4 linked regions of the Struthio camelus genome follow. The protein of the gene in region 3 interacts with the protein of the main gene of each other region in a biochemical or structural test. Links are inferred from orthologs where the notes say so. Each region holds a gene or a part of one and is shown on either strand. Other genes may lie near its edges. The genes, in order: KIRREL1, claudin-4, TJP1 and CLDN7.

Region 1 (7,029 bases), on a different chromosome or scaffold from region 3:
TGGTGGTGCTTGCAATCCCTCCTCTTCCTTGCTGCCAGCTTGGGGCAGCGGAACCGCGCAGGAGGCCCGGGAACCCCCCGGCTCCCTTGGCGCTGACTGACAAGGCTCCTGCCCGCGGCCCCTCGGCCTTCTCCATCCCTCCTTGTCCCATTGATAGGGGGCTGGGTGACAAAACTCTTCAGCATCAGGAACCTGGGGCCAGAGCCTTCCTCTACCACCTTCCTCCCCCTCTGCCACGCTCCAGCACAGCAACGTCTCGCAGGGGCTTTTATTGCCCTGCAGCAGGCAACGGTCATCTTGCAAATCCCATTGTACCAGCACAGCTCTGGTGGCAGGGCCACCGAGGCAGGCGGCCCATGTAGTCTCTGCCGAAATACCTGGGAACAGCAGGGTGCATCCACCCTCCCTGCATGGGGGCTCAGGATCTGCTCATGCTCGCTACGCACGTGGCTCATGCCCTGCACCCGTCCGTCCGCCCATGCTGGTGGAGGAAGGCACCTGGAAAAGCCACCAGCACTGGACAGAGGGACCGGCCCAATCCTGGCTCCTGCTACCACAGAGCTGGGCAGAGGACCCAGGAATCCTGGTGCTGGCTATGCCCCGCTTGGGCATGACGGGTGACGAATGCACAGCGCCCCCCGACCCCTCGCAAACACGGCAAGAAAAGTGACCGGGCTGATGCCTTTAAAGGGAGCACCCAGGCTCATCCCAGAGCATGCAGCGAGCACGCAGGGTCTCAGCGCAGTGGGGGGGGGGAGAGGGCGCCAAAGGCAGCGTTCACACAGCCGACGGGGCGAGTGGCCCGCCAGCACGCACTGCCTTTCCATGGGAAACGCCAGCACCAAAGCCCCTCTTCCTGCCACCCCATGTCCCCCCAGGGCCTGGCTGCTGCTGCATCCTGCTCCCATCGGCCGCAATCTCTGCTGTTTCAGTGTTGCTGCTCTTCCTTGAGAGGGAAGAGGGAAGAGAGGGAAAAAAAAAAAAAAAACACAGAGAGGAAGAGAAAAAGAATCACCCAGAAAATGAATAAATATTTCAATTTGAGGAGCAATCACAGCGAGTGATTGAAATGGGGGGAAGAATAATGGGTTTCATTTAGATAAGATACAGAAAATTATTTAGTGAGAAATGAAGAGTGATGAAACCCATTCAACATCTTTGTGCGAGCGTGTGCCAGTGTGCAACGGCATGAATGGCCCTGATCGCCTCCCCCACCGCGACACGCCGGCATGCACACGCACGCATGCACATGTGTGCACATGCATGCACATGCAGTGCAGCATGCTCATTTCTACACATCCCCTTTGCAAAGTGGGTTGGCGGGGGGGGGGGGGGAGCCCTATATTTTGCCAGCAGCAGATGGCAGAACCCCCCTCCCACCCTGGACACCCCTGTCTTTAGAGAAAGGCAGCACAATCGCTCCTCTCTGATGACAGAGAAACTTAGCAGCCTCGGCAGGGAGCGCCGCGGCCAGGCACTGTGACGGGGCCGCTCGCCCGGGGAAGTCATCCCTCCTCCCTCACGCAGGAATGCATCCACTGCTCTGGGGCGAGCGCAGAGCTCCCTCCAGGCAGCCTGTTTACCCCAGGCCCAGCCAACCGGCTTTTTTAAATTTTTCTCCCCCCCTCTCCTCCAAGAGTTATTAAATGAGGGGAAAAAAAATAAAAAAAGAGAGAGGAGGCAGGCAATGCCAGAGCTCTGCCCTCCTCACCAACGAGCTCCACATGGCACGGTACAGGAGAGCGAGCGCTTTTGTTCCTAGGAGGGCAGCGAAGCCCCATGGTGCCTCCCCGAGCTTGGCGCGGGGGAGCCTGGGATCTGCTCGCCTGGCCCCGGCCCTCTAAGAGGCTTTGCATGCTCCTTTTAAACCCCAGTTCGACTCTTTTTTTTTTTCCCCCTGGCATCTTAGCAACACCGCCCCCTTAATTAAAAATTAGATTGGATTTTGCAGCAGGGAAGGACCTGGAGGCTACGGAGGGGCTGGCTCAGCACAGGGTGATGCCCCCTGCTCGCTCCTTGCCCTGGCTGTGGCACGGGAGCTCGCCCCTGGGTACCTGCAGACCCACGGCAGGGGGCTGCCAGTCCCGGGCCCCGCTGCCTTCCTGCCGCACGGAACGGACGACCTGGCCGGAGACACTGCAAGTTCATTGCACGTGTGGTGCCTTTCCCTGCTCCCCTTGCCGCGCAGACCCCGGGGGACCTCACGTCCGAGCTGCCAGCTGGGGCGGCTCCGGGGTCGTCCTCAATCCACCCCTCCTGCTCCGCGCACCCTCGAGTGAGCAACTCCCCGTGCCTCAGTTTCTCCCTCCTCACCACGGCCCTGTGAGGGGACAGAGGGGGGCGCGGGGCGGGTTGGGCTGCTCCCCCCGCGACAGGGTTCAGTGCCCAGGGCCCGGCGGGGGAGGGGGGTCAACGCGGGGCTCCCCCTCGGGGGCGCAGGCGTCCCCCAGGAGTTTTTCCTTTGCAGACGGACGGACAGACGGACGGGCCGGGTCCTCGCCGGCCCCGGCGCCCCGCTGCTCGGCGCAGGGTGCTGCTGGGCCCCCTCGCCCCGTTCCAGCCCCCTGCCCGCCCCCCGACGGGCCCCCCGCTCCCCCTGCCCGGGGCTGCGGCAGCCTCGAGCCGGGACCGACCCAGACCGGGGGGGGGGGGGGGAGGGAACCAGGACCCGAAGCGGCGCGACAGGACTCAGCACAGCGCTCCGTCGAGCACCGAGCCCGGGGGGGGTCGCCGAGAACCGAGCTCGGGCTCCCCCCGCACGACCGAACCCGGGCGCCCCCAGGACGGGGCCGGAGCGGAGCCGGCGCCGGGCCGAGCCGGACCCGTGCCCCCAAGTTGGGAGGCGCCGGCGGGCGGGCGGGTGCCGGTGCCGCGGCCGGTTCCTACCTTGGCCGCGGGTGCTGGCGAGAGTCAGGAGGCAGAGGAGGAGGATCCACATGCTCCCGTCGTGGCCGGGCTGCGGGCACGGGGCGCCGGGGGGGGCCGCTGCCCCGCGCCGCCCTGCTCGCCCCCGCCGCGCTGCCCCGCGCCCCGGCGCCGCCGCTACACCATGGTCCGGCCGGGCGGGGCGGGCGACGCGACGCCACGGGGACGGGCCCGGGCCGCGGGCTCCGCTCGCTCCGCGCCCAGCCGCGCCGCCGAGTGCGCGCGGCCGCCGGGGGGGCGGGCAGGGCGGGGCGGGGGGCGGCGGCGCCGGCCGGGCCGCGCAACTCGCGAAGTTGGGGAGGAGGGGGCGGTGTGGATGCGTGTGCGTTAGTGTTTGTGCGTGGTGAAAGGGGTGCATATGTGCGTGTCGATGTGTGTTTATGCATGTTGGTCTGTGCATGTGTGTGTTTGTGCATGCTCGTGCATATGTATAAGTGCACGCTAATATGTATTTGTGCATGGCGAGGGGTGCACACGTTGGTGTGTGCGTATGTGCATCTCCGTGTGTGTTAGTGCATGTTGGTTCGTGCATAAGGGCATGCTAATATGTGTTTGTGCATGGCTAGGGTTGCATGTTCATGTTTGTGCATGTTGGTGAGTGTTTGTGCACACTGAGGGGTGCATGTGTACATGTTGGTGTGTGTTTGTGCATGTTAGCGTGTGTTTGTGCGTGCTGGTGTCCATTTGTGCGTGTACGTATGTGTGCATGTTAGCGTGTGTTCGTGCCTGTTGGTGTGTGCATGTTAGTGTTTGGTGCAGGGTGGGGGTGTGCACACGTGTTGGTGTGCATGCATGTTGGTCTGTGTCAGTGTGTGTGCGTGGGGGGATGTGTCCATGTGTGTTAGCATGTGTGTGCATATTGGTGTATATATGTGGTTGGTGTATATATGTGTGTGTGCGTGTGTGTGTGTGCATGCTGGCATGCGAGTGTGTGTGCATGCATGTTGAGGTGCTTGTTGGTGTGTGTGTTTGTGTGCACAGGTTTTTGGGTGTATGGTGCTGTTTGGGTGTATGTGGGTGTGTGCCAGCATGATGGGGGAATTTGCATGTGTGCATGTTGGCAGGGGCGCATGATGGGGGTTTTTGTGCCTCTGTGTGTGTTTGTGTGTGTGTGTGTGTGTGTGTGTGTGTATGCATGTGCATGCATGCTGGGCTGCATATGTGTGTGTGAGCGCATGTCTGTGTGCATCCATACTCATGCATGCTGGGGAGTGTGTGTGTGTGTGTGTGTGTGCGCGCTTATGTCAAAGTGCTTGCGTGGGAGGTTGCATGCAGGGGTGTGTTTTCATGTGTGTTGGGATGTGTATAGCTTTGTGTGTACACTAGCCTCTGTGCACGTTGTGGGTGTCGGGGGGGGGTATGGTATGCATTTACACATTTGTGCGTGAGCGTGCGGGTGTATGCTGGGCCGCCCCATGTGTGGGGCCGTGGGTATTTGGGTGTAGGGAGGGTGTTCGGGTGCCTGCAGACGTGCTGGGGGTTGTGTGCCAGCTGCCTGAACAGGGACAGGTCGTCAGTGCGGGACACTAACGGAGGATCCCAGTGCGGTGAAGAGCCGGGCAGAGCTGGCCTGGAGCCCCCAGCTGCTGGATGATGCCCCAGGATGGAGCGGAGCCAGGACCGCTTGCCACACCGCCGCTCTTCCAGGCAGTTTCTCCTTTCTGCAACACATATATACTTTTATCTTTTCCTCTTTCTATTTCTCTTTTGAAAAGTTTATAAGCTCTAACTAAAGGCCCTGGATATTAGTGGCTTGAAAAATCCTCTTGCCTACAGGCTCCTGGGAAGGGAAGCTTTCCAAGTGGAGTGGAGTGGGCTAAGCCCTTGGTAGAGGCAGAAGCTTCAGCTTTCATGGTTTTTTTTTTTTGTTGGGTTTTTTTTTTAATAGAATTTCTAGCCCTGAGGGTTTTAGAGAAAACATTGCAAATGGGAACCAGCACTCGGCTGCCTGCCTGAGTCAGCAGGCAGCTCCCATACTTTGGCGGCTACTCCGAGCTTTGCCAAGGGTGTAGGAGCGCGGGAGTGACCAGCCTGGGGTGATTCGGGGAAGGACTTAAAGCCACTGAGCTGCCGCTTGGGCTATCGGAAAGGCTAATCTCTTGGCCATAGCACGGGTTTCTTGGGTAAGCTGTGCCGAGTGACTTGGGCCCCAGCTCAGTTTCTCTGCTGAGCTGGCCGCGGCACCGAGCAAGCACCTCAGAGTGCCGCGGGTGCCGGCGATCCGCAGCTCGCCAGCTGCCCTTGCCGCTTCCTCTGGCGTTGCAGCGGGGAGGCGAGGGCCTTCGCCGCCGCCTCCTCTTCCTCTCGACCTTTGCAAGGGGCTTTTTGGCTGCAGCTCCTCTCTGAGCATCAGCAGCACCAGGGCCATTCCCCAGGACGGTTTCACCCCAGCAGCAGCGGGGCGTTTCGGGGGCGCCGAGGGCAGAGGCCCCGCTGTGAGGCTCTGGCCCCCGCGGGCTGCAGCCAGGCTCCGGTGCTCCGGTTTCAGTGGCTTTGTGCTGCCCTCTGCTGAAATCGGCTTGGCTCTGCCGCTCGCACCCGCCGAGGTAGCCGCTGCAGAGCCCAAACCTGCCTCTGCCACTGGTCCCGCTCACCCTCCTCATCCTCCCGCACCCTTTTGCCCTCCGGGTGCTGCTGGTGGGCCAGGAGGTAGAGCCCAGCTGGGCCATGGGACGTCGGGGCCACCCGTCCCCGCCGGCTTCGGAGACGGCCAGAACCAACGGCAGTGATAAAAGGAGCTGGAAATAAAGGATATTTTATTAAAAGTCATAACCCCTGGCCCTGTGGTGCTAGTCCCTGCCGCCCTGAGGAATGTGTGGAGGAGAGGAGATTGCCGCCGCCGCTGGAGGCGAGATAAAGGTGCAGGAGGCGTCAAGCCCGAAGGGAGGGAAGAGGTCAGGGAGGAGCGGCAGCCAAGGGGAATTTGCTGATGGGGAGGAGAGAAGAAGCACAAATGCAGCAGCCAGGGGGGTGGAGGGGCGGCGAAGAAAATTCCCTGTGGCCGAGCCTTCGAGAGCAGCGATGGATACTGAGCGCAGCAGGGAATGAGGGGGGGAGAACCCAACCTCATGCAAACGGGCAAAAAGCAACCCAGGTCATGCGGGAACCCCCCCTCCCAGCTCCAGGAAACCTGCTCACAGCTGCCACAGAACATCAGGGAGGAAGCGAGGGCCGAAATTGCTGCCAGGTGGCAGGGCAAGACCTGCTCTGTACCTCGCAGAGGCAGCGTCCAACCAAGGGCCCATCAACCCTGGCGTGAGGGCGGCATGAGTAAACCCTGCGGTGCAGCCAGCCCTGGGGCAACGTGACCCCCCCGGTGGCTGGGCTCAGGTGCTGTTCCTCCGGGCCGAGCCCACCACCGTGGTGTCTCGCCGGCACTGCCAGGGCCCATCCAGCTGTGGCACGAATGGTTCCTGGGGCACAGGGCAGCACCCGGCATCCACTCTCCCGCCGGAGCCCACTGCTCTCTGCGCGCCGAGCCGGAGCTGGCATCAGCAATTTGTTTTCTCCCACTCGCCGAGCGCCGGCGGCAGAACAGGAACTCCCGTGGTGCGCGGCGGTCCATGAAAGCCCATCTGTGCCAATAATAATAACAATCATAATGATATTTATACAGAGCCTAATGTCTCCGAGCAGCTTCCAGAACCCATTTAGAGGCAGCCGCTCGCCTTTGCTCATTACGAGAGGTGCGCTGGAGCGGAATGGCTAACGAACCCGCTCGTTAGCTGGCCCTGGTTGGGGCCCATGGGCTCACTGGTGCCTGGGGCGTTGGGGCCCCAGAGTCCTCACGCCAGTGGAGACCCCTTTGCCACCCTGAGGAGCCCAGCTGCAATGGAGTGAGGGGAACGGGTTGCGCTTTCTGCTCCTCCATGTGGAATGGCGGGGAGCGGAAAAATAATTTGCGAGCTTATGAAAAGCACCTCGACAGGGAAAAGCAGGTGAATTTCCTTCCTTAAATAACCGGGCAGGCCAGAGAATTCCACCCTGGCGTTTCTGACCCACGTTAGGTCTCTTCATTTTTTTTTTTTTTCCAAGCAATTATGAGGAAGCCTCTGTGCCCGCCTTCACGCGCTCCTGCTGGAGTGACCTCTATTACACAGCAAT
Region 2 (7,327 bases), on a different chromosome or scaffold from region 3:
CACAGTGGGGTCTGAGCAGCTACCATTTAATGTGGGATGTCTGTGCCACAGCGGGCAGATGGCACCACGGCTGGCAGGCACAGACGGCAACACGAGTCACCCTATCCTGCCTGGATTCATGCCCGGTAGCCAGGAAAGGGCTGGCCTGGGCACCCCGCACACCTGCTGGCTTCTTGGAAAGTTGCATCCAGCCTGGGGTGCCTATCAGCAACTCTGCTGGCGGCGAGGCGGGCCATGGGGCTCTATGTGCCCCATGCCGCAGGGTCAGGTCTCAGGAGCTGGTCTCCTCCACGCTAGGGCCACCAACAGAAACACCTGTGTGCAGCCCCTGCTCACCTGCTCAGCTCTGCTCCTGCCACCCCAACCGGTTCTCCCAGCTTAGCCGCTGTGGTCCCACTCCCAGGATAATGATACCCCCGCCCCGGAGAGCTGCCGAGAGGAATAATAAATATGTACAGCGACACAAATAGAAGCCCCAAAAGTAGGTCAAAGTAAAAACTCAGGGCAGAATGGGATGAGAGCTCCCAGCCCCCCTGCAGACCATGCCAGGGTTTCCCAAGCCACCATGTGCCCTGGGGCAATGTGAGGCTGAGCCACACGGGAAAGGTTTGTCATCACTGCTCGCGCCCCTGCCCGGTCCCCGCCAGCCCCACCACCTGCTCCGACGGACACACGCTCGAGGTGTTGCAAGTTGGTTTACCCAGCGTAGTGGCTTCTGCAGCAGGGCTTGGGCAAACCAGCCAGGGGACGCAGAGAGGCGATGGGGATGGAGCCCCGTGCCACCCACGGGGACAGGCACCTGGGGGCACTCAGAGCCGTGACACAGCACGGCGCACCTCGATACCAGCAGTCAGAGCCCTGGGGTGTTTCCAAAGATGGTGCTCTCACAGGGACGCAGCTGGGTTTCCCCTCCTGGAGACACCAGCTGTGCCCGGGGCAGCGTGTGCCGGCAGCAGAGACGGGGGCTGCCAGCCCGGGAAGCGGGGGCCCCACGTCCAGCAGGTTGCAGGGGGAGGGCAGCCAGGACAGGACTTCTCTGTTCTCTGTCTCGGCTGAGATTAAAGATCCAGCTTCAATCACCAGGCGAACAAAGGCAGGTCTGTCTGCTCTCCCTCGCACGCCTGCCTCTCCGTGCTGCCTCAGCACCCTTTCCTCCCCGTCCCGCGAGCGCTGCGTCCCTGGATGCTGCACAAGCAGTGCATGCACAGGCCCAGGGCAGCCTCGAACCCACCGGCAAGGAGGGTCAGCAGGCCAGGCTGGGCTTGCCGCAGGACCTTGAAGGTTTTTCTCTGCTCCAGCAAAACGAGAAGCAGTGCTAGATGCTTAGCACTGGGGACCACATAGCCCCACAGCTGTTGCTGGCCCTGGCTCCCTGGGGACAGGCAGGCAGCCACCCCGGTGGCCTGGCTGCGGGGAGCAATGCCAGTCCGCAAGCTGCCCTGCAGCATGGGAGCTGTGGGGAGCCCCGAGTGGGTACATCCCTACGGCAGGTGCAGAGCGGTGAGCTGAGCTCAGCGGGTGCTGCAGCTCAAGCAGGGCAGCAGGAGCCTGGTCGCGGTGGCGGTCTGCACAGGAGAGAGGCGTCTGGGTTATGTGCCAAGCCACCAGGCTGCGGGGGGAGCAGCCCTGCGGTGCACGGAGCAGTTCCTACACGTAGTTGCTGGCTGGCACTGAGCGAGACGCCGTGTACTTGGCAGAGTAGGGTTTCTCACTCCGCCGGGGGCAGGTGCAGCAGAGGATCCCCCCGCCAGTGAGGAGCAGGGCAGAGGCCGCCCAGCCGACATACAGGGAGGACCCTAGGTCCCGCTTCTGGGACTCTGTGACCAGTGGGTTGTAGAAGTCCCGGATGATGGTGTTGGCCGACCAGGAGATGGGGATGAGTATCATGATGCCGGCAATGATGAAGATGATACCAGAGATGATCATGACCTTGGCCTTGGCAGTGTCGTCCTCCACGCAGTTGGTGCACTTCCCTCCAGCAATGGCAAGCACGGTGCCCAGCACGGCCAGCACGATGGCGATGACCACAAGGGCGCGAGCAGCCTGCAGGTCCTGGGGCAGCGCCAGCATGGAGTCGTACACCCTGCACTGCATCTGCCCCGTGCTCTGCACCACGCAGTTCATCCACAGCCCTTCCCAGATGATCTGGGCCACCACGATGTTGTTGCCGATGAAGGCCGTCACCCGCCACATGGGCAGCGCGCAGCACAGGATGGTGCCCAGCCAGCCGATGACGGAGAGGGCAATGCCCAGCACCTGCAGCCCCATGGAAGCCATTGCTCACTGCCCGACGCTCGGCCCGCACCGACACGCGTGCCTGGCTCCCGCAATGCAGTGCTGGCTCCCGGGACCATTGGAGGCATTATATGCCTTCGCCGAGGGAGGAGCTCCAGTCCCCTTGCTCCATCCAGTCGGCACAGGACGAAGGGGTAAAACCAGTTTCCCGAGATTCCTCCACTCATATTTCTGCCCACAGCAATGACACTTAATATTCCTGCTGCTCCCAAAGAAGGATGCAGGGGACTGGGATCAGGCTAGCCTGGCATGGGGAGAGCCCAGCAGGAATGCTTCCTTCTGCCTGCCGTTTGGCACGCAGGCAGGTGCCCAGATGGGACAGGAGCAGACTCTGAGGCTCAGCTTGAAAAGCCCTGGGGTCGTGGGATGCTGAAGAGAAAGAGCAGGCGTCCAGGGATCAGGATTTTCTGCTGTCCTCCCAGGTGCCTCCAGCTTCAAGACCTGGATGGAGTCACCTCAGACTTTTGTGCCTCAGATTCCCCCCAGCTCATGGGGCGGCTGTTCCTGCTGCAGTCCTATGCAGGCCGGCTGCTCACCACCGACCCAGTGGCGATGTGTCCCCGCCGGGGTACTGAGCTCCTCCCATGCAGAGGGAAGCAGCACGTCTCTCCCCACCGGCGTGCCACAGAAGCTCTCAGCCCATCCTGCTCGGCTCCATTCCCTCCCAGGGCACAAGCGGCTCTTGTTTGTTCCTTGGCGTCTGACAATCGCTTCTCATCCCTCAATTAGGCCTCAGGCAGGAGGTGTCGCCACCCGCCACGGAGACCCACAAACCGGTTGGAGCTGCTGCAGGCTTGCTGGGGAGGAGAGATGGCGCTGCCTGGGGCGAGGGGAGGCGGCAGACCCCACAAACCACCCCACCTTTCGCTTCTCTGTGAAGCCTGAGTTCACATGACAGCCCTCTTTCCCAACATAGCCAGCTGCGGGCGTCCCACCACCCTGTTCCCCACACTCCCAGCCAGCCAGCTGGGGATGGGGTGCAGTGATGGGGGGGCTCATCGGGGCTGCACGGGGCAGGCACGGGGGTCTGGCCTTGAGCCACGTGGGCTGCAAAGGGCAACAACCCAAAACTGAAGCTGGGCAGGAAGAGTCCATCAGCTCCGCTCATAGCTTGCGGGAGGAAAGAGCTGCCCAGGGAAGGACTTATTGCAACACAGGCCCAGCATATGGCTTGGCCTCACTTTGCAGGAGCGTGAGGAGTGTGGGGCAGGCAGGCAGGTGGAAGACAAGTGGGGAACCCTACGGGGACCCCAAGGCGAGCAGCAGAGTCACTCCCAGCGGTGGGAGCAGAGCAAGGGCAACGTAATCTGGCTTAGGGCGGTTCAGGCCTGGGAAACAACAGAAACATGCATAGGGAAAGCAAGCAGCCGGGATGTTAAGCAGCTGCTTCCCAACCACTTGCACAGCCGCCTTGCAGCCAAGCATTTTGCTTCCTGGTTTTCCTGTTGCTGCTCAGGACATGCAGGCTCCCAAGGCACACACGCAGCGTGTTCCCAGGTGAACCGTTCGTGTGCACCAGAGTTTCTGCTTCCCAAAAGGTAACAGGCGCAAAATGAGGCAACTACTGTGGTCTTCCCTTATCTCCTGGTCCTGACCCAAGAGATCTGGTTCACAAAACAGGGAAAGGGTTCAGCACACCCAATACCTGGCCTAGAAGAGAGAGCCAGCAAACGTCTCTACACAAGGTGTAGGTGACACCACCAGCATCGCAGGAATCTTTCAGCACCAGCATCGAGGCATCGTGGTGCTGTGAAGCGCCCTGAGCTTGCTAGCATGAGCAGGAGCCAGGTGCTCAGTGCCCTCAGGGCAGCAGGGATGCTGTGGCCACATGGTGCTGACAGTGTCGTTCGGCATTTCGGCACGCATGGCACAGCTGGCCATACCCACTGGCCTAAGCTCTGCAGATGCTGTTTGGGAGCTTTGAGGCTCTGCCAGACCTCTCCTTCTTTAATCTATGAGCCCACACACCTCCTCTTTGCATCTCCTGCTCCCTAGGGTGGCCTCTGAAGTGTCTCCACCGCTGGCGCAGGATGAGGCCAGACAGACCTCAAGGATGGACAGACAGACAGACATGCACAGTTACCACTCCAGCTTAATTGTGAGACTTTGGGATAGATAACATGGCCTGAGACTGTTTTAGTTTTTCTGAACACTCAAGTGCCGGGTAGATAAGTTATTAGGAAACCTTTTGTGGGGCCAGACTGAGTTGTGGGTTGCAGGTGAGCACCACAACTGAGTCGGGTTTGTGAACTGGGGGTGTGGGGAGCCCAGCCCTCCCAGGTGCCGAGTTTGGCTGTGGGGGAAGGCTGGTCCGGGCTGCTCCCTGGAGTGTCACTCACCAGGCTGAACTCCTGCTGAGGAAGTGGGATGGAAGATTACTGACAGGACATAATTACTTGGGCTAATTGTTCAGCACAACAATCTCTTGAGCCAACTCTGACTGTAGTGTGCCTTGGATGTCTCTGGCCATCCACACCAAGTGATGTATGTGCAAGCAGAGAAGACCTTCAGTAGAAGGAAACAACCTTGACAAAGGTTTGTGGGCAGAGCTGCCCCTGTCCGTGGGTACCAAGGATGATGGGGTAGGAACAGCCAAACTTTGAGGCTCTCATCCTAGGCAGCAGAATGAGCCATGTCCATGCCCATGAGGCTGATCACACCGGTACTGCACTCACCAAGGATGGCAGTACAGCTACTGCAGCCGTGCACCAGCACAGGCTGCAGTGAGTCGGTGCTGCAAGGATCCCAGCCAGCACCTGGGCTCAGGCTCTTCACATCTGGCTGAGGCAGGAGCCAACAGGCAGGAGACGAGTGCAAGGGAGAGGCAGCTCGTGGGTGCCCAGGGATGAGGGCACCTGGGTCTAGCTCCAGGTCATGGCCCAGGAACCCTCACGAGGAACAAGCCGGTGTCTTCCCAGCTCTGCCACGTGCATGCACAGCTCAGAGCAGGGGGAGCTGAGCGGGGAAGGACATAGAAGACCAGCCCAGATCCCTGTGCTGCCTGCGTGGAGGACAGATTTGGTCCCCACCCAGACTCTGTTTACCCTGAGATGCTCCTCAGTCCATCTCCACTGCTGGAGCACCCACATTGTTGGAACACCAGCTTGTCCCTTGAGCCAAAGAGAGTGGAGCCCAGTGGTCAGGTTCCCTTTAATCTGCAGGGGAGCAGCAAGGACTGATCCGCCCCACTCCAGAGCATCCTCTGGCTGGGGCACTTTTCAAGGGACGCGACATCGGGACTTAACTCTGCCTGAGGCTGAATGTTGCTCTTGCCTCCCAGACTGCTGCTCTAACCACTGAGTTATTTGGGGTTGGAGACAGGAATGCACACACGCGTGCACACATCTACATACGAAAACTCTGGCTGCCTCCTGTGGGCTGCAACTCCCTAGGCACATGGAGACATGCCTCCGGGCTGGGGATAGATGGCAAGGTGGGGAGAGGGACTCCTCCACATGCAGAACTTCAAACGCCTGAGCCGGGCAGTTCACGCTCACCCATGGAGCCTGGAGAGCCAAAGCAGGCGCCAGAAAGGCTCACTGACAACTGATTCCTGTAATTAAGGCCAGAACGTGACATGTTTAAATTGGTGTCTGCCACCAAGAAACACCCCTCATGCCCTTCCCCACATTCCCCAGCAGCTCATTCACCGAGCAAACACAAGTGCTGTTCAGCTAGCCAGAAACCTGCACCAGGGAACAGACTCAGTCTGGGTTTTCCTGCAGCTGGATCAGTGCTGTGGGCCAGCCCCCGGCACCGCTACGGAGGTGCTTGGAGCAAGCACAGCCATTAGGATGTGCAGATGCAAGCCGAGCGGCTGGACAGGGAGCAGAAGAGCAGCAGCTGACTCTCGCAGCAGCATCCCATCCTTGATGAACATCAAGCCCTGGCCAGAGGATGTTAGTGAAGCACAAGCGAGACCTAGGCACCTCTGAATAGCTTAGCACACGCTCTATGAGGCAATCACTGCGTGGACGCCACACCACAGCAACACAGCCCGGTCCCAGCTGCCCACAACAGGGATGCCAAGGTGCATCTAACTAAGATCTGGCTTCGAGCAGCGCTCCGTCCAGGAGTACATGTGCAGCCCTGATCCCAGCACTTACCCAGGGACCACAGCACCTGGAGTGCTCTCCTCCCCTCTGGCTCACCCCGGCTCTGCTGGTGAGCTGCTGGCTCAGCACAGGCCCCAGTCCATGCCACAGCACACCACTGCCATGCAGAGCACCAACCTGCACCACCCCAGCAAGGGCAGCTCTTCAAGAGCACCCAAAGGGTCTTGCCCATACCCGTGCATAAAGATACATTATGCAAAGCAACCAGAGTTTTCCAGACCCTGAACTACAAAGAGATTGAAAGAAGACGCCCACCTCTCTCCAGACCTGAAGAAGGGACACAGCTCACCCTAGTGGGACCTTTCCAACCTGCCCCAGCAGCTAGCATGGGGCAATGGACTGTCTGTTCAACTGGCAGCTCCTCCCCACCAAAATGGGATGCTCACCCCATCCTGGGCCTTCGCTGCTTTGCACCTCCACCAGCATCCACCTGGGAGGTGAGTGTACTGCTCTGAATTCAAGGCATCTGCAGGAAAGAAAAAGTTTGCAGAAAGTTTGCGGAGCTCCAGTCCCTGCTCCACCACGCACCGACGCAAAGCATCACACCAGGTCTGAGAGGGCAAGGCTCCTGTCTCAGCCACCAGCCCCTCACCCCATCCCCGCAGCTCAGAAAATGCACAACTGCACTCCGCAAATGAGAACCACTTCACCAGGAGAAGGGGAAATGCTCCAGCCCCATATGGCCCCATAGCTGGGCTGTAAGACCCTCTGTGGGGGGATCTGTGTCAGGTAGAAGGAGCCCATGGAGGTGCTGCTCCTGCGCTGCTCAGAGCCCATGGAGGTGCTGCACAAAAGGCATGCTGGACTGCCACCGACCTTGTGCAAGGGCAAAGGACGTCTGCAAGGATCCCTATGCTGGGCAGGGATCTCGGTGCAAGAGGACCTAAAGCACGTGTCTGCCTATGACAGGGGTGGCA
Region 3 (6,900 bases):
TAATTTACCTGAGCAAATAAAATTAAGAAATGAATAGGGCTCTGCTTGTTTTTGTACTGAAAAAACTCCTATGAATCAACTATATTAACCTGAAGTAATCTAATAGGAATTAAATTGTTTCTAAAACGCATGCTATGTCTGAAAAAAATGTAAGCTGCTTTCAGCTTTATGACCTGTAGTGAAGGAGAGTGTATCTTGCCAGACAGAACGAGTCTGTACAGAGAACAGTAAATATGCTCAGAGCATCTCCACTGCAGGGATAGCTACCGTATAAATTCTGGCCATAGCTCAGCTACGGGGCCGCACAAGCCTCGGAGGTAACAGTGGGATGTTTGGATACTTACCCTAATCGGGAAGCTGCTGATTGACTGCTGTTAAAAATAGGCAGTTCATCTGAAAGACAAGAAAAACAGGATCTTTTTACTCTTTCAGCTATATAGAAGATCTGTGCTTAAAACAGGATGCCCTGAAAGGAGGCATATAATGGAGCAGCACTAAGACAGAGCAGGTATGACAGAAACAGAAGAGGAATTAAAATTAGAGGATAACATGTCTTCATGAATATCTGGTTTTGTCTCTACAATATGCATCAAGGAGTATGATGATGATACATAAAACTGACAAAACCAATTAATAAGTTAGTCTCAGATTAACAGAGTATGATCAATGAAAATGATAAGAGTTAAATCTGAAATAACTAATTATTTTGCAAATGTAAATAGAATTAGGAATTCCAATTTAAGTAAGAATGGGAATCAAATTATAGGCTCTTGAAGAAGGCGAGTAAAGACTGGAATATGCAGCCAGACTCCAACATAGAGTCTTCGTGCAAATTTTTGCCTGTGCATTTCTTAACTCCTTTGTACACAGATGCTGAAAAGAAATGCATGTTTCAACTCTGATACTGTAAAAATTGAAAAAGCCATGTTTTGGGCTCAGAGTCCCTTCATCAGGTAAGGAACTCCAAAAGCTTACCCGCTTCTTCCTGTTATATTAGCTTTCAAAGAAACTTTGCTTCCCTTGTATCCTTAGACCGCCTTATCTACAAAATTTCTAACACTATAACTCTATGAAAGTCTTACCATACGACTGCATTTTTCTTTCAATAATTTCTATATCAAATATGAAACAAGATTAATATATGTTTTTCTAACTGCTAGGTATCACATTCAAACTGAAATGTGAAATTCAAACAGTTTCAGTTATAATGCAGCTAACATTCTGCTATTGATGCCAAGAATAAAATCCAGCCCACACTCATTCTCCCACTACTTATGTGGGCACCATATATTTCTTCAGTCAGCTAATGACTGTGGATACACAGAAGAAGAAAGCAACATGTCAGTTTTACAGTTCTTCTTTCTAGTCACATTTTAAGGCAAAACAAATCTCTAAAGGTTTTCAGATTCATTTGATGATCTGTCTACAGAAGATATAGACTGTCCATTCAATATACCTCAAGCTTTAGCTACATTTAACCTTCCTAATGATTTCAAGTTGACTGACCCTCATTGTTTTTAATGCTCAATCTCTCAAAAGACAACCTGCAAAGAGTATCTTGAGAGCTAAAAATGAGCAAGCTTGTGTTGGGACATTGAGTTGGCATTTGAATTTTTAAATCATCTGTGACACAGAATTTCAGGACATTTCTATATATCTCCAGTTTCTTGACTGAAAAAACAGAACCGTCCAAGTCATTAACCATAGTAATACAATTACTATGATATGTTTCTAATTAGAATCTTTTGTGCTTACGAGTAACATATTGATCTTCTCTGTCTCCTGCTTAACAGACAGGTCTTTGGAGAATGTAGTCTACTACAGTCTTAGGTACATATTACCTATAAAAAAGGAAGAAAAATAATGAAATTCTAATCTTTGAGCCTTAAAGTGACAATGCTGTTCACAGTATTTTTCCTAGTTAACAGTGCCAGCTTAATTCATCCACTCTGAGTATTGCAATTCATACAATTTACATGATAGCATCTTCATGAAAACTTGTCACTTCTGTAAGGATTTGTTTATACCTGCATTCTGCAAAACGCATACATGCTGAAACAGTACTGGGGCTGCCAAAATGCCCCAGCCGGTATCAAAAGAGCTTAAACATCCCCTAGTCTTTGATAACCTTGGGAGGAGGCAACAGAACTTTAGGCACTGAAACTTTTGACACTCAACTGCCATTTCTCACCAGAAGCATCAGAACAACTTCTATAGCACAACTCGAAAAAAGTTTTACCTGTTTTAGCAGGTTTACCATGTTATTTTAGATGTTTTGTATGTGGGTTAAGCATAATTTGAAACTTTCTGTTCGAGTACGAATTCACCATGCTGCCTTTACCCAAAGTATTTCCCACTACTATTGATCAATGTGTCAGCTAAGTGCTATCCTTCACTTCAGTGATGTTTGTACTGTAGCGGATTTCTTTGATCTTATTGTAGTATGGTTTAGAGTGAATCCTGAATGCACTTGTCAAAAACCATGACCACCTATGGCTCTTAATACTGGACTTTAGGAGAAAGGCGCGAAACAGATTAATGCTGTAACGATAATTCAGTGTCGCACCTACGGCCACTACACACTTATGTTTTCAGCTATTTTTGTCACAGTAGCCAGGAGGCAGGCACCCACCTAGAAAACATTTAATATTTTTAGTTTGATTTAATCACCATCTGATTTCCAAACACACGTTAGTTGTTTTTCTCATGTGAAAGAAGAGGGAATGATGTTTATGTCGTCTTGCCAGTAGACTCACTAGGCTTTGCACGTGCGACTTCACAACCCAGTCACTTAGGGGAGGTGCGGAGGAGGGTGCCGCAGTGGGGAGCTGCTCTCCAGCCACCTCACACCCGGAGTCTTTTCTGAAGGTGGCTTGGCTGGTGGCACGGCTCCCGCTGCAGCGCTGGCCTGCTGGCCCATCCTGGCTGCCTCCACACCTCACCTCCTGCTCAGACCCTTGCTCCCCTCACGCTCATCCTCACCTCACCTCGCCTTCAGATTGCCTCATCGTCACCTCGCCTCACCTTCGGGCTACCTCAGCCTCACCTCACCTTCTTCCTCACCTCGCCTTCCTCCTCTCCTCAGCTCGCCTCTGTTCTCGTCGTCTCATCTCACCTTCGTCCTCACCTCACTCTCACCTTCCCTTCATCTCCACACTCACCTCAACTTCCTCCTCCCCTCACCTTAACCTGGCCTTCACCCCACCTCGCCTCGCCTCGCCTCGCCTCGCCTCGCCTCCGCGCCCGCCCCGCCGCTCACCTCGCCTCGCGCCGGGGCTCAGCGGGGCCCTCGCCGCCCCCGGGGCCGCCCCCGGTGCGGGGGCGCTCGCCTCCGCAGCCCGGCACAGCTGACCCAGGGGCGGCCGCGCCAGCGGCGGGCGCGGCGTGAAGACTGCGATAAAGCGGGGCTATTCTAGGCGCTAATGGGATGAGCGGCGCGGCGGGCTGCGGCATGGCGCCGCTCTGATGGCGGGCGGGAGGGCCGGGCCGGGCCGCGCGGCCGCAGGTAACGGGCGCGGCGGGCCCGCTCGTGCGGGGGGAGGGGCGGGCCGGGCCGGGCTGCGGGAGGCGGCGCAGGTGAGGGGCGACGGGCCGGGGCCGGGGCGAGGAGCGGGAGCGGGAGGCGGCGCGGGGGGAGGGCTGGGCGCGGGAGCGAGGCGGGAGGAGGAGGAGAGCGTCAGGCGGAGCAGGGATGGAGGGAGCGCGGCGGGGGGCGGAGGAGGAGAGCGTCAGCTGGGGGCAGAGATAGAGGGAGTGCGGCAGGAGGAGGAGGAGAGGAGCGTGAGCTGGGGGGGCAGAGGCAGAGGGAGCGCGGCAGGAGGAGGAGGAGGAGGAGGGGAAGAAGCGCGACGCAGGGACGGCAGATGCCTGGAAATAAAAATTTGATGATTGCATGCAGCGGCTGGAGAGACTCTGTCGGTGGCGGCGGCGGGGACGAGGCAGGGACAGGGGGGGCGACGGCAAAATGAAGTATCAGAAATACCTGACTGTCTTGCAGATGGCCATAGGGGTGACCGCCTCCAACCGGGGCAGTCTGATGCCCTTAAAGAGGAAGCTGTGGTGAGTAGGCACGGCAGGGGCCGGCGGCACTGCGGGCCGGGGCGGCGGGCGGCGGCGGCGGCCGCGGGGCTTTTTCCTGACAGGAATAACGGCTGCGCGGGCAGCGGCGCGCTGGAAATCCGGCCCGGCGCCGCGGCAGAGCGGGCCTCGGGCGCCCGGCCGCATCTCCCCGGCGGAAAGTTGGTGGCGGATCCAGCGATGGGGCTGGGGCGGCGGCGGCGGGGGCGAGACGCTGCCCGGGCGCCCGCCATCGCGGGCTGCAGCGCGGCCGGCGGCGCGGCGCTCCCGCCCGCCCGGCCCTCCTGGCGGCTGCCAGGCCCCTCGAGGAAGGCGCGTTGTCAGGCGCTTGCCGGAGCGCGGCGGCGGCCCCGGTGTTCCCGCTGAGCGCGGTGCCTCCCCCGCGCTGCCCGGCGGCTGCCGCCCGGCAGGTGCGCTTGAGGCGGCGCGCCACGGACAACACGCTTTCGCCGCCTTCCCGCTGGTTTTGTGCTTGCTGGTGGGGGGCGCTGAACTGGCGCCCGGCGGTGGAGGGCCGGCTGTGGCAGCCCCCCCGGCAGCGGCGGGACGCGCGTCCGCGGCAGCGCTGACAGCGGGGGGGAAATGTGGGAACTGGCCGCGTCTTCTGGAGGGGGAAGCAGCGAGAGCGTTTCTACACGGGGTGGTGGTGGTGGTGGTGGTGGTGGTGGTGGTCCTGCGGTTCCCTGTCGCTGCCCTTGTGCGTCCGCGTAGGGAGCGGGGTGTCAGCGAAGGGGCGAGAGCCCTGCTGCTTAGACGGGGTCACTCACGAGTGGAAGGATGTCCGTGGCAGCGACGGCAGCACATGCGGATCTTCCATGCGCTGCCCGATTGGGGTTTTTTTTCATGTTATCAGCCGGCGTAGACAATGTCAAGGAAATACAATTGAAGAAACAATGTGGAACTAATAAGCTGCCTGATATTCATTCCAAACCTTGATGTATTACTTGCAGAAAATAAAACGACTGGACATATCCTATTCATATTAACTGTAACATACAAAATCAAATCTAGTCCTAAACAAAAATATGCTGTCATGCAGATAACTTCTATTACCTTTAATCGAATCAAAGGATTTTAGACTGTACTCAGTGCTTTGATTTTGATTATGTAAGTTACATAAAGTGCTACTACCCTACCTCTCTTATTCTCCTAAAGTGACATTCCTGTCAGTGCGCAGCAGTGTGCGTGTTGATATATTATTTCTTTTAATATTTGAATTGTGTAACACAGTGCTAGCTCTTGTGCCATATCGTATTTCCTCTGTCTTCTTGGAAATGTCGTCTTTGCTGACAAATTAAAGTGAAACTATCGATATTTGCGCACTTTAAAAAGTAAGTCTGGAAGGACCTGATACAACTCCCACTTGATGCCTTCAGTTGGAATGTAATCAGCTCTGTATTGCCTAGTTTCATGGTGAGATTCTGTGCTTTTTGAGGGATATCAAAACACTGTAATGGATCCCAAATAATACATGCTATAAGCACTGAATGTCTTAACATTTGTAGCTTGTCTTCGTGTTATTACAATGCTGTGCTGTATACAGATTTAAATGACTTAAGTGTTAGGGATAAATAAGATAAATTTTTTTTGCAGTAGAGATCTATATGAATTACTTAAGCATTTGAGAGTGTGTCTATGGGATATTTTTATTAATAGGTGACATGATATTATGTAGTCACATTTTCTTAGGGAACTTGGATAGCATTATCTGCATAGGTAGAATTTATGCTTGTGGATGAAATAGTATTTTTTTCTGATGCATTTAGAGAAATGCGTAAGGATAATTTGTCATGGCTTTTTTTTATTTGCTTTTAGTCTGTATGTATACTGTTCTTAATGCACACATTAAAGAAAAGCAAATAATAGGGAGGTGAGTATATTTTTATGACTAAAATCAAGGCAACATAGTGTATATTGCCAGCCCGGAAAGCAAAGATTTGTTCCAATGCCATATCACTGGGAACCTCCAAAATACATAAAGAAAATACATAAATCAAGTCAGCTTGCAATCAGAGGATGCTAAGACTTTATTTTTATTTATTTAAAAAAAAAAAAGAATGATGGCCATTCAGATTCGTAAGTTGCTTGATGTGTTAGTACATATTGTAAGTGGAAGCAAAACATATAATTTAATAAAAAAGGTTTAAAATACTTTTTGTTGGTGGAGATAATCCACCTGAATCCTACTGAATGAAAATGAAAAAGGTAGCAGCGATGGTCTATTTCTTTATAGAGCATCTGCCACTCTAATTTCCTCTGACTTGCCCTCCAAAATGTGAGTCCTGTTCTCTGATTTACCAAAGCACAGCTACAAATCAAAACAAAAAAGATGGACCCTGATTGGTATAAACTAGCTGGGAATAAAACGAACAGAAAATTGGACAAAAAAGGAAGGAAGCTGTGCCCTGGGCTTGCAGCTGGAAGTGCTGGAGCCAGAAACTTAACTGTGTTTAATGTGGAGTTTGATCATTTTATGAAGAGGTTTACCTGGTGTAGTAGAGTTCTGCGCTCGGTGATCAGGGAAGTTGCTGGAGTCCCGATTTGCTGATTCAGACCCTGTTCGGTGTCTATGTTGTAATCTAATATGTAGAAACCAGAAATGAGATGAGTAGGATGTTTTTAATCTTACTGCAGAGTTTAACAAGTCAGTAAGCTGTCTTCAGGGCACGAGTCGCCTTCCAGATCAGGGCAGAGACAACATGAGAAGCTTGCACTATTTCTGTCTATTTTGTACCTGTTTTCTGCACAGACAATTTTCTTTTCTGAGGTTGTCCAATAACGTTTCTTAGCAGCACTGCCTTTATTTTCTCTACAATAGAGTGT
Region 4 (7,009 bases), on a different chromosome or scaffold from region 3:
TGGCCAAACACCACCCAGTCTGGTCCTTCCAGACCCCACCAGCTCCTCTGTAGCTCCACCCACTCTTCGAGGCCATGCCCATACCTGGCCACGCCCATGTGAACCAGGCCCCTCCCTCAGCTCAGGACACCACATGGGCCACACACCCCTTCTGCCAGGCCACGCCCTCATCTCCAGGCCACACCCATTCCCATGAAAGCCCTGCCCACTCCTGTCTGGCTCCACCCACTCCACCTGGGCCCCACCTGTTTTGTGCAATCCCCGCCCACTCCCACCAGACCACACCCACCCCTCACAGGCCCCACCTACTCCAGCCAGGCTCCTCCCCCCCACCTGACTGAGCCAATCCCAGCCACTTCAGGACTCCCCCTACCCTGGCCCGGGTATATTTGCATCTCATTAATATGCCTGGTACAGACCACGCCTTCTCATGGGGGGATTGGTCCTCCTGGCTATAGAGCCAGACAATGGTGGGCCTGAGAGGCTGGTGCCACTCTAGACACCCTGTTTGTCTATGGTTTGCTTGCGGCACCCTGGTGCTTCCAGCCCCCATGGAGTCCTCTAAACCATAGAGATAGGGCTAGAGCAGCCCTCAGAGCCACTCTGTACCTTCATGAGGCCTTGCTCATCTCTTCTCTCTTTGGTCACAGGGGCCAGCTAGAGCTGCCAGGGTTTGGAGTCCTCCAGACCATAGAGACCTGTCCCCAGGGTGACCTCCATAGAGCCACTCTGTGCCTGTGTGCAGCCGTTTTCTATGGTCATAGAGCACTTCTCCAGCACCAAGGGCTTGGAGTCTTCCAGACCACAGAGGTGGAGCTAGAGGGGCCCCTTCCCCGGAGCCGCTCTGCACTACCATGGAGCCCTGCTTGGCGGTCCCCCCTCCGTGAGCATAGAGACTGCCGAGCTGCAGCTAGAGCAACCCCTCCAGAGAGCCATTCTGCACCGCCATGGCGCCCTGCTCTATGGTCTTCTCCTTCCCGGATCCCCTGCGACCATAGAGCCCTGTGCCCAGAGCGGTGCCCCAGCGCATGCCCCGGGGCATTGTGGGACTTCAGCCAACGAGCCTGGTGCATCATGGGACACTGGCTGACTTCTGGACTGCTGCGGCTGCTGACTCCAGGGCATGATGGGAGCCGGGTCGGCCCAGGCCCGCCCTTTGCCTCCCACCAGGAGCATCATGGGAAGGAGGTCCTGGGCTCAGGGGCATGATGGGACATGGGGGCCTCCAGCCCCTCCCCCAAGGGAAAAAAAAAACGTCTGGCAGTCAAAAATTCCCCCCTTAAAGGGATTTTCCCCCTTTTAAAGGGGCAGAATTGGAGGGCGGGGGAGTGGGCACTGTTTTTTGTCCGGGGAAGCAAAACACTCTTAAAGGGGTGGGCGGGACCCATGGCCCAATGGGAGCATTTGTCTGCCGACAAAAAAAAAAAAAAGGCTCTTAAAGGGGTGAGGACAAGCCCGCAGGGCCAATAGTTGTCTTTAGACAGAAAAAAAAAAAAAAACAGTCTTAAAGGGATGGCAATGGAGGTGGTGGCTCAATATTTGTCTGCAGGCGAAAACAAAAAAGGAGACTTAAAGGGGCAGGGGCGAGGGCAGGAGCTTCTTAAAGGGACAGGCTCTCCCTGCAGCCCCGGGCAGCGCAGAGGGGCCCAAGGCTCTTAAAGGGGTGGGTGGCCATGTTGGATGACCCATGACCCCTCCACTGGGCATCAATGGCGCTTCTTAAAGGGACGGTTGACTGTTATTTTATAGGCTCGATGTTGATATCTAGCTCTATGTTTAAAGGGGCAGGTGTGTCCCCCCCCCCACGCCCGCCATTTTATCTCCCCAATAAGCTGTTCTTAAAGGGATGATTGCGTCAGTCATCTTGTAATGCCTCTCCAGAATATTTGTCTGTAGATGAAAAAAAATTGAAGCTTAAAGGGATGCCCCAGGGGGCTGGTTTGGGCCGCCCGACGGAATATTTGTACACAAAAAAAATGTGTTTCCTCTTAAAGGGCTGCTCCAAGGCAGCCATCTTGTTCGTCCACCTTGTAGGGGGGGAGTCGCTTAATGGGGGGGGGGGGTCCCACACGGGTGTTGCCATGTTGTGTCCCCCCATGGAGGGGGCAGCTCTGGGGTTCCCCCAACAACCCCTCCTCCCCCCCCCCACCGGTTACACCAAGGACCCAGGAGTCCGGGGTGGTGGAGGGGGGGACATCCCTCCCCATGGCACCGGCGGGGATGGAAGACTACAGCTCCCGGCATGCCCTGCGGACGGAAAATGGCCGCCCGGAAGCTCGGTGCCGGAGGACTACATCTCCCGGCATGCCCTGCGGACGGAAAATGGCCGCCCGGAAGCTCGGTGCCGGAGGACTACATCTCCCGGCATGCCCTGCGGACGGAAAATGGCCGCCCGGAAGCTCGGTGCCGGAGGACTACATCTCCCGGCATGCCCTGCGGACGGAAAATGGCCGCCCGGAAGCTCGGTGCCGGAGGACTACAGCTCCCGGCATGCCTCGGGAGGCGGCGCTCGGTCGGGTTTGACCCTGCGCTGTTGCCGTCCGTCCCGCCGCGCGTTGCGTTGCGAAGCGCCGTTGGAGGCGCCGGGCCGAACCGGGCCAGAGCCGAACCGAACCGAACCGAGCCGGGAAGAGCCGGGCCGGGCTGAACCGAGCCGGACCGAGCCGGACCGGGCCAGAGCCGGACCAAGCTGAGCCGGGCCGGGCTGAACCGAGCCGGGCGGGCCGAACCGAACTGGGCCAGAGCCCAACCGAACCGAGCCAGGGAGAGCCGGGCCGGGCTGAACCGAGCCGAACCGGGCAGAGCCGGGCCAGGCCAAACCGGGCCAGAGCTGAGCTGAGCCGGGCCAAACCGGGCCAGAGCTGAGCCGGGCCGGGCCGGGCCGGGCCAGGCCAGGCAGAGCTGGACCGGGCCGAGCCGAGCCGAACCGGGTCGGGCAGAGCCGACCGAGCATCTTCCCCAAGCAGAACCGGCCGCGGCGGCTGCCCAGAGGCCCCTGCGCAGGGGGCGGCTGCGGGACGGCGGCGCCGCGAATCCGCCCGAAAAACCCGCCCTGACAACGAGGAGGGGGGAGAATAAAGCGAAAAACAAACCAAAACGCCGTAAATAAAACACCGGAGCTGCCGGCCCGACCCAGTCCGGGGCCTCCTTCGGCCTCGCCTGCGCCCGGCCCCGGCCGGGGAGCGAAGGGGCACGTGCAGGGGGAACAGCTGGAGCCTGGGAGGGGACAGGGGACGGGGTACAGCTTGGTGGGGGGTACCGGGATGGGGTACGAGGTACAGCTCGGTGCCAGGACAGGTGCACAGCTCGGCCAGGGGTCCCGGGACGTGGTACAGGGTACGGCTTGTCCAGGGGTACCGGGACGTGGTAGGGGGTACAGCTCATCCAGGGGTCCTGGGACGTGGTACAGGGGTACAGCTCGGCCAGGGGTACTGAGATGTGGCACAGGATGAGGCTCCTCCAGGGGTACTGGGATGCGGTACAGGGTACAGCTCGGCCAGGGGTACTGAGATGTGGCACAGGATGAGGCTCCTCCAGGGGTACCGGGATGCGGTACAAGGTACAGCTCGTCCCAGGGGTACCGGGATGCGGTACAGGGTACAGCTCGTCCAGGGGTACTGGGACGCAGTACAGGGTACAGCTCGTCCAGGGGTACTGAGATGTGGCACAGGATGAGGCTCCTCCAGGGGTACTGGGATGCGGTACAGGGTACAGCTCGTCCAGGGGTACTGAGATGTGGCACAGGATGAGGCTCCTCCAGGGGTACCGGGATGCGGTACAGGGTACAGCTCGTCCCAGGGGTACCGGGACGCGGTACAGGGTACAGCTCGTCCAGGGGTACCGGGACACAGCACGGGGTACAGCTCATCCAGGGGGACCCAGGACGCGGTCCAGGCTGCAGCTGGGTGCCAGCAGCACCGCGGGGGTCCCGGGGCCGGGAGACCCCCCCCACTCCCGCACCTCCTTGGCCCCCCCGGCGCCGCCCCGCTGACGTCAGGCGCAGCCCGGCCCCTATATACAGGTGCGCGCACCTGCCCGGCCGCTCCTGCCGCGCTCGGCCGCCTCGCGCTCGCTCGGGGCCACCGCCGCCGCCGCCGCCGAGCCCCCTCCCCGCGGGCGTCTTCGCCCTCGTCCCCTCGGTGTCCCAGCGCCGTCGCCGCCGCGCTCGGCCGGCTCCGCTCGGCCAAGGTCTCCCGCGGGCCAGGTTTGTTGATTTTTTTCCCCCTCGTCCTCCCTCCTCCTCCTCTTGCAGCCTGGATGGGGCCTCCCTGTCCGTCCGTCCGGGCTCCCACCGCTCGCGTAGGGGCTGGGGAAGCCCCCGGCGGCGGCGTTTGCTCAGCCCTCTCGTCCCCGCAGGGCTCGCGGCCGCCCGCCTCGGCGCAGGGTCCCCCCGCGGCCGCCCCGGCCTCGCCGGCGGGGCCATGGCCAACGCCGGGCTGCAGCTGCTGGGCTTCGGGCTGGCGGTGACCGGCTGGCTGGCCCTGGTGGTGGCCACCGCGCTGCCCCAGTGGCAGATGTCGTCCTACGCCGGCGACAGCATCATCACGGCGGTGGCCATGTACAAGGGGCTCTGGATGTCGTGCGTCTCCCAGAGCACGGGGCAGATCCAGTGCAAGGTCTACGACTCGCTGCTCAGCCTCTCCGGTGAGCTGGGCGCAGGAGCCGGGCGGTTTGGGGCAAGAACCGGAGGGTTTGGGGCAGGAGTCGGGGGGTTTGGGGCAAGAACCGGAGGGTTTGGGGCAGGAGTCGGGGGGTTTGGGGCAAGAACCGGAGGGTTTGGGGCAGGAGCCAGGGGTTTCGGGGCAGGAACTGGAGGTTTTGAGGCAGGAACTGGAGGGTTTGGGGCAAGAACTAGAGGGTTTGGGGCAGGAGCTGGGGGGTTTGGGGCAAGAGTCAGGGGGTTTGGGGCAAGAACTGGAGGGTTTGGGGCAGGAGCTGGGGGGTTTGGGGCAGGAACCGGAGGTTTTGGGGCAGGAACCGGGGGGTTTGGGGCAGGAGCTGGGGGGTTTGGGGCAGGAACCAGAGGGTTTGGGGCAAGAACTGGAGGTTTTGGGGCAAGAACTGGAGGTTTGGGGGCAGGAACTGGAGGGTTTGGGGCAAGAACTAGAGGGTTTGGGCCAGGAGCTGGGGGGTTTGGGGCAAGAGTCAGGTGGTTTGGGGCAAGAACCGGAGGGTTTGGGGCAGGAACCGGAGGGTTTGGGGCAGGAGCTGGGGGGTTTTGGGGCAGGAACTGGAGGTTTGGGGGCAGGAACTGGAGGTTTGGGGGCAGGAACTGGAGGGTTTGGGGCAGGAACTGGAGGTTTGGGGGCAGGAACTGGAGGTTTGGGGCAAAAACCGGAGGGTTTGGGGCAGGAGTTGGGGGGTTTGGGGCAAGAACCGGAGGGTTTGGGGCAGGAGCTGGGGGGTTTGGGGCAAGAACCGGAGGGTTTGGGGCAGGAGCTGGGGGGTTTGGGGCAGAAACCAGAAGGTTTTGGGGAAGAACTGGAGGGTTTGGGGCAGGAACCAGGATTTAGTGCAGGAACCAGAGGGTTTGGCACAGGGAACTGGAGGTTTCGGGGCAGGAACTGGAGGGTTTGGGGCAGAAACCAGAGGATTTAGGGCAGGAACCAGAGTTTGGGGCAGGAACCAGAGGGTTTGGCACAGGGAACCGGGGGTTTCGGGGCAGGAACCGGGGGTTTCGGGGCAGGAACTGGAGGTTTCGGGGCAGGAACTGGAGGGTTTTGAGGAAGAACCGGAGGATTTCGGTCAGGAACCCGAGTTTGGGGCAGGAACCAGAGGGTTTGGCAGAGGGAACTGGGGGTTTCGGGGCAGGAACCGGGGGATTTAGGGCAGGAACCAGGGTTTGGGGCAGGAACCGGAGGTTTTGGCTTTGTCTGGGCTCTGCCAGCCCCGGGTGGGGCCGGGCAGACCTGAGCGACCGGCCGGGCCGGTTGGGGGGAGGGGGGACTTCCCCCGGACACCTGGGCCCTCTGGAAGGGCGCATGGGGAGGGGGGACTCTGGGTCGGTGGCAGGAGGCAGCCCGGACGCCTGGGCCCTCGCCGGCCCCGGCTGGTGGCTGGAGACCGACCCGCTATCGCCTTATCGGAGTTGGCAGCGGGAGCCAAACCACAGGGGTCACAAGGGCACCCGGACTCCTGGGCCCGCTGGGAGGGAAGCGGCGGCGCCGATCAGGGTTGCCTGGACGCCGGGGTCCCCGGGGGGGGAAGCAGGGCCCCCCCCTCCTCCCCCGGACGCCTGGGTCCCCACGGGGTGCCCGGACGCCTGGGTCCCCTCCCAGCCGGCGGGCAGCGGAGCGGAGTTGGAGGAAGGAGCCCAGGCGTCCGGGCCGCCGGAGGCAGCCGAAAATCCCCCTGAGCCGTTTCCTGGTGCCGGAAGGCGCACCTGGATCGGGTGTCCTCCCGTCCCGGCCGCCCCCGGGGGCCCAGGCGTCCGGGAGGGCCAGGCCCTGCCTTTGGTTTCGCTGAAACTCGGCGGCGTTGTCCGGGAGGGGGGAGCCCGTGAGTCAGCGGGGAGCAGCCGTTGGGGTGGGTCCCCGCCGTGGGGCTGGGGCCAAAGTCCCCCCCGCCCGGGGCGAGGCCGTGGGGCGCGTCCAGGAGCCGGGGTGGCGCCAGAGCCCTGGGTTGGGGGGGGGGCCCAGGCGTCCGGGGATGTCCCACGGCTCTGACACCCATCACGGGACCCAGGCGTCCGGGGGTGCCCCACAACCCCAACACCCATCAGGGGGCCCAGGCGTTCAGGGCTGCCCGAGGGCCCAGGCATCCCAGGGGACCCAGGCGTCCGGGGGTGCCCCATGGCCCAGGCATCCAGGGGGACCCAGGTGTCCGGGGGTGCCCCACAACCCTGACACCCATCGGGGACCCAGCTGTCTGGGGGTGCCCGAGGGCCCAGGCATCCCGGGGGACCCAGGCGTCCGGGGGTGCCCCATGGCCCAGGCGTCCGGGGGGACCTAGGCGTCCGGGGGGACCCAGGTGTCCGGGGGTGCCCCACAACCCCGACACCCATCGGGGG

The links.
Region 1: the proteins of TJP1 (region 3) and KIRREL1 form a complex in vitro, tested with the Homo sapiens proteins (3 studies listed by BioGRID and IntAct, with this or other methods). The link is inferred for Struthio camelus from reciprocal best matches to the Homo sapiens genes TJP1 and KIRREL1.
Region 2: the proteins of TJP1 (region 3) and claudin-4 form a complex in vitro, tested with the Homo sapiens proteins (2 studies listed by BioGRID and IntAct, with this or other methods). The link is inferred for Struthio camelus from reciprocal best matches to the Homo sapiens genes TJP1 and CLDN4.
Region 4: the proteins of TJP1 (region 3) and CLDN7 form a complex in vitro, tested with the Homo sapiens proteins (2 studies listed by BioGRID and IntAct, with this or other methods). The link is inferred for Struthio camelus from reciprocal best matches to the Homo sapiens genes TJP1 and CLDN7.

Annotation. Positions count from the first base shown.
Region 1 is NC_090971.1:5,250,311-5,257,339, reverse strand, and holds the start of KIRREL1 (kin of IRRE-like protein 1), read right to left. Parts: upstream 3,005-7,029; 5' UTR 2,939-3,004; coding exon 2,887-2,938; intron 1-2,886. UniProt on the Homo sapiens protein: Required for proper function of the glomerular filtration barrier. It is involved in the maintenance of a stable podocyte architecture with interdigitating foot processes connected by specialized cell-cell junctions, known as the slit diaphragm.
Region 2 is NC_090957.1:9,877,818-9,885,144, reverse strand, and holds claudin-4, read right to left. Parts: upstream 3,006-7,327; 5' UTR 2,278-3,005; coding exon 1,648-2,277; 3' UTR 13-1,647; downstream 1-12. UniProt on the Homo sapiens protein: Can associate with other claudins to regulate tight junction structural and functional strand dynamics.
Region 3 is NC_090953.1:18,421,105-18,428,004, forward strand, and holds the start of TJP1 (tight junction protein ZO-1), read left to right. Parts: upstream 1-3,886; 5' UTR 3,887-3,892; coding exon 3,893-4,059; intron 4,060-6,900. UniProt on the Homo sapiens protein: TJP1, TJP2, and TJP3 are closely related scaffolding proteins that link tight junction (TJ) transmembrane proteins such as claudins, junctional adhesion molecules, and occludin to the actin cytoskeleton.
Region 4 is NW_027182697.1:13,113-20,121, reverse strand, and holds the start of CLDN7 (claudin-7), read left to right. Parts: upstream 1-4,000; 5' UTR 4,001-4,204; intron 4,205-4,356; 5' UTR 4,357-4,421; coding exon 4,422-4,644; intron 4,645-7,009. UniProt on the Homo sapiens protein: Plays a major role in tight junction-specific obliteration of the intercellular space.